Drosophila melanogaster: one gene and its partner. The protein of the gene in region 1 purifies or fractionates together with the protein of each later gene. This does not show direct contact. Each region holds a gene or a part of one and is shown in the gene's direction. Other genes may lie near its edges.

Region 1 (4,893 bases):
ATTTCTTTGAGCGCAGCTTTTTTAAGCTGCTGCGCGGGCGTCGACGCCGACAGCGCTACACTGCAAGAAAATATTAGTAATAGATCGGTCAAAACACTTTTCCAAATCTTACGTTTGCTCTCAAGGCATTGTAATGTGCCAATTGAGTTAGAAATCAGTTAGAAATTATATGCATATTAGCAAAAATGTAGTTTCATAAATGAATTTAAATTCTACATTCCAGTAAAAATATGCTTACTGACTTTAGTTAATCATAACACATATGTATTTCTCACCGTGTAACAGCATTATTGTTGTTCTTGTTTTTCGTGTAATTATGATCTTGTGCTGACTTTTTTATATGTACATGCATGTGTACATATATTTGCTCAAATCAAGTAATCAGTTATATTTAAGCATCAAAATCAAGTTTTGGCAATTGCTAATGCAAGGCGGTGGTAAAAAACGACCAAAGATTTATACGAATGTGTGCCGTGAACATTGACGATTTTATTAGAAAGTAGCAATTGGCAAAACAAACAGATATGCAAAATGGCAAAATGCAAAAAAAAAGAGTGGATCCATAAATTGAAAGTTTAATCTTTTCTTGACACCTTTCTACTTCCCCAGTCGGGAATTTTAATTGCCTCGCAAAAAATAATGACAGGTGTCTGGTGAATTATCTTCTTCAGCGCTAATAGCATTTATTTTATTTGTAGTAAAATTACCTAAATTAGCTTTTTATGTACATTTACAAATTTTAAGTTCTGCATCTGCATGGTGAGATCATTTCAGTTGCCGTGTAAGCTTCTTAAAAAAAACTGTGTATATATGAATGTATATATTCTTTCATATATGTATATGTATATAAATTTATAATCACATAAATATTTATGTACTTATGTAAATATTACATAAATGTATGTACATAAGTATGTTCCTCACTGCTTTGTAATCTCTAAAAATTGTAGAACCTACATTGTAAATTATGTATGACCTTGACATTTCATAATTTTTTAGAAACATTTCCACTTGGTTTATAAGAATTCGTTAAAAATTATGTTATGTATGTACATACACACATTTCTATGTACATATGTACATAGTACATCATGTGGCTTAAATCTCGTATTATGCCATGCTCTCATTATGCTTATTATAACTCTTATACATACAAAAAGTATTATAAAAGTGTTTCCCACAAATTCCACGTTTTATTTGACGATCTAAATACATAGCTTTTTACATAGAACTCCATGTGCCATATTTCCTTATGTGCTAAGCAAAAAAAAAACACATTTTCTTTGCCTTTTCATTTAGCGCGACTTCCTTTTGCCACAACCCCTTCTTCTTCTTTCTTTTCTTCCCCTCAATTCCCGCGCAAAACGCTTTTTTCCAACGAGACAGTTGCAAAAAGCAATCAACTGTATCGTGGAGTGTCCCCATCTCGCTCGCACTCACTTGTTCTAGCGCACGAACGATCTTCGGTTTTTCGAATGCAGCAGAAAGAACAACAAAAGCAAAAACTTCGTGCTCACACACACACGCAAAGCCTATTTCTTTTTTCGACTTTTATTCGAACTTTTTTGCAGCGATTTTTCAGTAACAAACGGCAACTCTCAGGAATAAAATCGTCGTCGCTCCGCTCGTTAAATTCTCGTTGCTTTTCCACCCACATAAAAAATCAGGATAAATTGTTAGTAGTCTAAAAAACAGTGCGGATTGCATAAATTCAAGCGGAGCACCGATTGGAAAAACACCCACGGAAAAAACTATGTGATGTTAAATACGTTTTTGTGTCGAGTGCATAATTTGTTGTAATTAAAGTTCAACTGCAAATGCAAAAAGACGAAATATATAATAATTTATAGGTGTTTGTGAGTGTTTGCGCCCCCTCTCCTGTGCAACGTGTGGGAAAGAGAGAGAGGGAGTGAGAAAGAGGGAACGTGACCGAGTTGCCATGAAAACTCCAATGGAAATTCAGGTGAGCGATTGTCAATCGACGTGATGTTATGCGGGGACCATCATCTCTATACGTTCACCTTTCATATGCACACTGTAGCCGTCGAAAAGATCTGTAGAATTTATGATTTTGCCACAGAAACGACACTCCTCGCATCAATTAGTATTGGTTAGAACATTTGGCATGCGTGTAGAATTTCGCACAGAAATGTTAATTTTCCAGCTGAAAACCCGATGAAACCGTTAAAAATTAAGGTACATATTTAGGTACACATAATTTGTACACCGAAATTAGAGAGAAAACGCGCGGCGATGAAGTCATGCTGGAAGCCAAAAATAAATCAACGCCGATCATAAAAACGTTTGGAGAGTGCACAAAATATAATTTGCGCTTTTTAGTGGGAAATGCATTGCACACACAAGCCGAGACCATCTTTCATCTCCCTCGCACACCCTTAAACAACTGCAACGAGAGATGGAGAGAGGTGTCGGAGTGGGGGAGAGAGAGAGCTTGCTCGGCAACGGTAATTTTACCATTTCGAACATTATGGCTTCGCTTTGCTGCGAAAAAAACAAGCAAAGCTAAAGCAACAACAAAATCTCGCCCCATGGTGGAAAACAAAAACAATACCAATGCGAATGATATTTTCGAACTCCGCCAAATATGTGCAAGCAGAGTTGTCAGCCTCGTTCGTTGTCACTTACAGTATATGAGGTTCTATTGAACAACTTTATTAATTAGTACGTACGACTCACATCTCACTGTCTATGCCAAATACTATTTACCACGTAGAGACCCTAAACAATTTTTGTGATATTCATATTCAATACTTTCTCCAATTATATTTAACATTGTCTTGAGATTAGCAAAAACGTTATCGTGTTTTTATAGACAGGCTTTTCAAGTAGTGTAGTTAGTAAATTTGACGTCCGTTGGAAACGTATTTCCTTCTTCCTTGATGTGGAACTTAAATTAGGTGGCAACCAGATAATGAAAAGCGTGTCCTCCTTCTGCATCATCCTAATTTGTCGATCTTTTGTCGTGAATTGGCAACTCTGTGCGCCAAGCATACAAAAAGCACACGTCTGAAGAGGGGTGGCAAACAGGCGACGTCAACTTATTTTTCGAACTCACACTCTCATTCGCACTCACACTCTTCGGGTTTCGCTTCGGCTTCGTTTCCAACTCTCTCGGCGCTCTTCGGGGTCTCTGCTTATGGGAACCTTTCGTTTTTTCGAGCACCAGCGGAAAGTCGCGTCAGTCGTCAGTTTTTCTTCAGTGGCTTCGCGCGTCCGCAATTTTCAGTGTGTGGTGCGTTGTTGCTGCTGCCTACTCTTTTCTTTCTGCTCTCCACGGCAGCGGGAAAGGAAAATACATACACATGCATACAGGGCCCCATCACATACAGTAAAAATAAATTCAACTTTATTGCTTTTCCCCCCGTCGCGTTATCGTGTGTGTGTGTATTAGTATTATATATATTTTACTATATATATACATATATGGATTGGAAAAGCAACACCAAAATTTGATATGTGCAAAGTTTATTGACGACTACGTGCTGCCTGTGATTCTATTTCGGTGTGTATATAAAATTGATCAATAATGTTTTAAAGTACCGCTTAATAATATACAATAAGAACTTGCATTTGAACTGTACCTGGCAATTATCTGCCTGAGATTGTGTGTGTTTTTGCATATCGAATCGATACTTCCAGTGGTGTTTCTATCGATTTTTCCCTATGCTCACTTCACGGGAGAAAGCTTTTCACCAATGTACGAAAAGAGACAGGCACAGACAGAGCAGGAGAGGGAGAGCTTTCCCACAAAATGCAACGCTGAAGTAAATGACGGGCGGTTTTCATTAATTTTCACACACGCACACACTGCCAGTGGCTCACTTTCCATGCAAATGAGGTCAAGTGTTGCAGTGGGAAATGTTTTCTACAAGTACACGTGTATGTGTGCGCGAGTAGGAAAGTTATATAAGCTTTTCATTACCGATTGCGACGAGGGAAAGCTTGATAAAAAAAACTATGATTAGTAAACACGAAGATTGCCAAGAGCGAGTTCAATTAATTGCTTTCTATTATAAACTCCTACAAAAAAGCACGTTTTTCATTTCGATAGATTCCCAAAGTCTTGGTGGCCGCCATCTTGGTTTTTCCCCCACACATAAAATATTTTGTTCAATGCTAGGCTCTCTCGCTCTTTTGGCTCCCCTTTTCTTTCTCTCCCGCTCATTTTGTCATACTCCCTCGTCAGTTTTTATGTTTGTTCACGAAAAACAAAAACAACAAGCGTGAAATTTTCTCTCTGCACTTTTCACACACACTTAGAAAAGTGGGAGAACCAGACGGCTCAGCATGAGGCAAGGAGGATGATGAGGAAGGGAGAGAGAGAACAGTCGCCACATATTTTTGTTTCCACTTTGTGCTACACTTCTGCTACGCCGCTTTTGTTGTTTTCTTTTCGACACGTTTACACATTTCCATTTTTCATATTTTCGTGTCGCCTAATCTTTTTTATGGGACTGCGCGACGTTGCTAAATTTCACTTGTGACTTTTGCAAAAGTTTCATTTGTTTACATTCTACGCACATGTGCAGAATAATAACAATAATAAATGAGATATAAAAAAGCTTTTGCGCAACAAGTGTAGAAAAGCAAAAACTGTATTTTTCTCTTTGGTTTCTTGCCTTAATTCTTTGTTTACAATTTAAACTTGTACACTTCTTTCAAGTCATCAACTTTTTTTCCTTTTAAAACACCATGACCTTGCATCGAATTTCTGACCTACACACGCACGTGCAAAAAAAGTTTAATATGTGTCGCACTTTTCTATTATCCACTATTCTTAATGTTCTTGTCTTACAGTAAACAGCAAAAATATAGAAAAAATAAAACGAAGGCGGGGAAAAATAATGAGCGGCCGTTATCGCAACCTGCTCT
Region 2 (4,893 bases), on another chromosome or scaffold:
ACAATTTCATTTTGCAAAAAGTTTTGCCTGGGCCAAAAGATGGGCAGAGACGGGGGTGGTGGGGTGTGGAGAGAGAGTGAAATTGCTCGTGACAATGAGTGAACGGGAAAACAACAAACAAACAAACAGGAGTGCGAGAGAAAAGAGAAGGCCAAACGAGCAAACACTACGGTACAGAAAATACAAAAATGCCGTCGCAAAGCCAAACAAAAAAGGCACTGCACAAGCGAAAGAGACAGAAGGAGGGAAAGAGAAAGATAGGGAATGCGAGAAATGAAATGCTGATGCGAAGATTTAATAAATGAAATTGGTGTGTGATTAAAAACACAAAAACCAAACGAAATCCATCTAATCAACTTTTGCTGCCGCCTCACTTTTCCTCTACTTTCTCCTCCTCCTTTTCCACCGACCCGTTTCTCCTTTTGTCCTTTCTCCCAGCTGCTATCTCTTTCCTTCCTTCCCGGCGACGTCGACTGCGAGAGCGGCAGAGGGGTGAAAAGAGGGTTGCGAAGTTGGGGAGGGGTGGCACAATACTGGGGGTGGGTGGTCTTAAGTTTGCAACGCCTTCTTGAGGGAAATTCCCGACCAAAGATCCTTGGATTTTTCTAACCTTACGAAATTGTACATAAATAACGGTTAAAATTAATAAATAATTTTTACAATATGTTACTTATTCCACTTAAACATTTATGTTTAATTAAAAAATTTTGAATTTTCAACATGTTTCAAAAAATGTCTTTTTATGTACCATAAAAGATCGGAAAATTCATTCTACCTGTTATATACTTCTTAACAAATCTAGTATACCCTCTTACGAAACGAGTTAAATAGTAAAATTTCCCAGTTTCTTATTCCCCTTTTGGGATTTTCTCTCTTCTCAGGCTCCACCCCTACATATGAGCAGAAAATGGCTCTGAAATGCCTATACATACACATATTTACATACATGACGGCCAGTTGCTATGACATTCTACATCTTACATGCATAATAAATCTGAAATGTAACGTACAACGTAAGTTAGAAATCACTAAAATGAAAAATGGCGCTGTATTAGTTCCAAAAACAAACACCATTTGTCGTAAACGGATAGGCGTTGTGTGCTGTTAGTTCCAAAAGTATACGAGAAAAGTTGAATAAATCATGGCGCAGAGTTAATCCTGCATTGGCAATTTATAATACTAGATTAATTTAAGACCGATCTTGACCAACTTCAATGATGATTTCATTCGGAATGATTATTAAAATCAAACTGATACATCATCTCTGAGAGAACTAGCAGGGAAAATATTATAAATTCTACTACTCTACTAAATCTACTCCTTTCACATAGTATATTTACGTTAACAAACAAAGTACACTTTTATTAATATGAATATTTTGTTATTTGATTAAAGTAATTAATTTGTAGAAAGGATTGAGCATAATATTGTTTTAAATTTTTTTTTTCTATCTCAACGCTAATTCATAACATTGCATCAGAAGAGAAAATAATTTTTTAAAAATTAAGAGAAAAAATGCTAATGTGCTCTTTATTTCATAATATTCGAGTAGTGGTAGCGAGTAAGTTGTTTGTTTCATTTTCAGTCTGTTGGAATTTCTCGTGCTGTGCGGTTGTCATTTGTCGCGATCGTGCTTGGAATTGACTTTAGCGGCATTTTTATAAGAATCAATGCAACGCGTGGTTTTCCTGCAAATTTTGGCACAAGTTCTTAATAAAAGAAAAAAAATATATATATATATGGCATTGGCGTTTATCAGAATAATCCACATCGCCATTTAGTTCGGTGGTTTTTCATCGACTTGTGCTTGTGTGTGCGTGCCACTTGGTTAGTTGTTGCTGCTTTCGCTAGTCGTACGATCTAGCATTTGTGCTCAATTCTGAATTCTAAAATAAAACAACAACTAGCGTTTTCCATATGTGCAACTATTTGCCTTAAAAAGCAATTAAAGCAAAGGCAGTGGTTAAAGTTGACTAAATATTAGTAAAACGTGAATTGTGAATGCAGTTTTGGTGCATTAAGCGAAGAGAGTGGAAGAGAGAGCGGCTCTCTTTTAGTTTGTGATTTCAAAGTGGAAAATTATTAATTCAAATGCAGTCTGCAATTAATTTCATGGAAAATCACTTGTTAGCTGCTCGTTCGCTCTGTCTCTTTCGCACTTCAGCTGACGAATTTTCCGTGCTAAACTTGACACTTTTCAGTCCATCATTCCAACTAATTCTTTGACTGCAGTTTTGCGTCGCATTTCCTTTCTACGCCGATCTGCCTCTTTGCCTTTCTTTTCTCTGATATATTTCAACAGAAGCTCAGTTGTTGTTGTAACTACTCCTCCTCCTTTTTGTTACTTGCTGCTTGTTTTTGTTGCTCGTCATGTACAATTTTTTCCAATTTGTGCGCCTTTTCATATTTTATTCTGCCGCGCTGTTTTTCTGTTTTCTGTTTCTGTCTCGCCGCCGCTACTATTTTTAGCAACAAGTATGGCTGATGTTGTTGTTGCTGCCGCTCAAGTTAACTACGCTACGCTGGCAGAAACAACAACAAGTCAAACTATGCGGAGCGAGAGAGAGTGAACTGAAAACAAAAAGAGTGAGCGATAAAATCCGCGAGAAAGAGTACAGTGGGGCTCGACTTAAATTATCATATTAAGCCAGATCACAAGTATTAACAAATCGAATGTTCTTAAATCCAATAAGCGTTAATCAGCAATGTTGATCAAAAGTTTTAAAATTATTTAATCGATATCAGTGAACTATTGAATACTATTGGTAAAAGCTCAGTCTTGTTTGCATCTTCAAGTGGGGGTCCCACTGTATTCGACTCAGGTGATAACAATAACAGCGACGAGTGAGAGAACTCTCTCTCACTCTCTCTCCTTCATTTCATTTCCCAATCTTTCGTGTTCGTGTTCTGTGGCTAATAGCATTTAAATTTTAATGCCCAATTTCATAGAAACGCAACGCAAGTGGAAAGACTCGAGAAAACAAAAGTGCAGGCCGTCTAAATTGATGGCGAAGTTTCGTGTGCCGCCTGCATTTCATTTATAAATATATTTTCGGCCTTAATTCTGTGCTTCCTGTGAATTAACGAGGAAACTGAAGAGTGCGCGAGCGAGACAGCCGATCACAAATCAACAAGTGGAAACGAAGAAACTTTCTTCGCAAAAGCCGGCTGATCGCAACAACAAGAAGAAAAGAGAGCGATTCTCTGCGACTGGAACCATAACATTTACATCGACCCTGGAATTTCTTCACTTTTCGTCCAACATGTAAGCTCCATTTTAATATGCAATTACTGTTCGCTGTTGTCGAACAGCAACTTATTTATTCATACTTATTGTTTATTTATGGATTTATGCCGCCTACGAACTTTGTGATTGCACAATCGTTCGGCCTTTGAATAATTTTTTTTTTCGCCAAGGCGCCCTTTTGTCTATATACCCATCTCTTTCGACTGCTCCAGTGCTGTCTTTTTCTGGTCCGTGCTTTGAATAAACAATTAAGGCTCAGGGTCTTTAAGCCCTTTTCTCCGCCTTAGAGCCGAAAGTGATTGTTGTAATTTATAATTTATATTTCCTTTCTTAATAAATAAATAAATAGTCAAGTTTATGTTTGAGTTTTATGATTTATATTTTAAGTTATTTCAACTGCAACACCAGCACCACGACCTACTCACAGCAAAAAACGTACAAGAAGGAAAGAAGGAATAAAAAGAGTGGTATTCTCTTACAATATGTTTTATGGCATAAAAGGTGTGGCCATTCATATCAAATATAAAGTAGTGTTGTTTAACGTTATTTTTGTAGGTTGAATAGTATATTCCAACACGCCCCCTCAAAAATAACGTCTATAATTAAAAACATAACAATAATATTCATTAGTAACTATCAAATGTGGGTGGTGTGCATTCTGGGAAGTGTTAACTGATCCAGCATTTGCTGCGAGGATACGGGGAAAACCCAGAAAAACCCGATCAGATCATTGTAACAAAATATGTTTACAGGAATTTAAATTTGAAAAATATATATAAAAATTTCATTCAGCATTCGATTGGTCGTCTTGCAGCAAACCCAATTTGTCTCGTAACTCCACAAATCTCGCAGCAGGCAACGGTTTTGTAAATATGTCAGCCAGTTGATTCTCTGTAGGAATATACTCAAGACAAATCACATTATTCTGAACTTGCTCTCTGGCAAAATGATATTTAATATCAATATGTTTAGCTCGTTTATGACATGAGGGATTGTTTGCTATGCTAATACAGCCTTGATTGTCTTCGTAAATTTTAATGGGGTTTTCTAGTTTAATGTTAATACTAGTTAATAAAAATTTAAGCCATAGAGCTTCTCTCACGGCTTCAAATAGGGCCATATACTCAGCTTCAGTTGATGAGGCTGCTACTGAGTTCTGTCTCTTTGTATTCCAACAAATGAGATTAAAATCAAACATTTTGAATAAATACCCTGTTGTACTTTTTCTATCAATTTCACTACCAGCCCAATCAGAATCCACATAACCAATAATTTTATTTTCAAATGCCAAGTTCTTTTTAAAAATCAATTTCATATCGATAGTGCCCTTCAAATATCTAAGAACTCTTTTTAAGTTCTGCCATAATTCGGAGTTATTTTTGCTACTATATCTGCTCAAGATATTTACTGCAGTAGTTAAATCTGGGCGTGTACAAAGCATTATGTACATTAAACATCCTATGAGGCTACGGCATGGGGTATTGCAGTCTTCATCTGAATTAAGTAATTCATAATTTATTTTACTAGGTAAAGGAGTACTAACTGCATTACAATTTTCCATGTTAAATTTACTTAAAATTTTTTTAACATATGCAGATTGGCTTAAATAGATTTTATCTTCCTGCATCTCTATCCTAATTCCAATA

Evidence for each region.
Region 2: the proteins of lola (region 1) and for purify together in Drosophila melanogaster (affinity purification with western blotting; one study listed by BioGRID). This does not show direct contact.

The regions. Positions count from the first base shown.
Region 1 is NT_033778.4:10,539,975-10,544,867, reverse strand, and holds the start of lola (longitudinals lacking), read left to right. Parts: upstream 1-1,576; 5' UTR 1,577-1,963; intron 1,964-2,872; exon of another isoform or gene 2,873-3,027; intron 3,028-3,094; exon of another isoform or gene 3,095-3,523; intron 3,524-4,893. UniProt on the Drosophila melanogaster protein: Putative transcription factor required for axon growth and guidance in the central and peripheral nervous systems. Repels CNS axons away from the midline by promoting the expression of the midline repellent sli and its receptor robo.
Region 2 is NT_033779.5:3,653,642-3,658,534, reverse strand, and holds the start of for (foraging), read left to right. Parts: upstream 1-1,581; 5' UTR 1,582-1,813; exon of another isoform or gene 1,814-1,827; intron 1,828-2,949; 5' UTR 2,950-3,265; intron 3,266-4,893.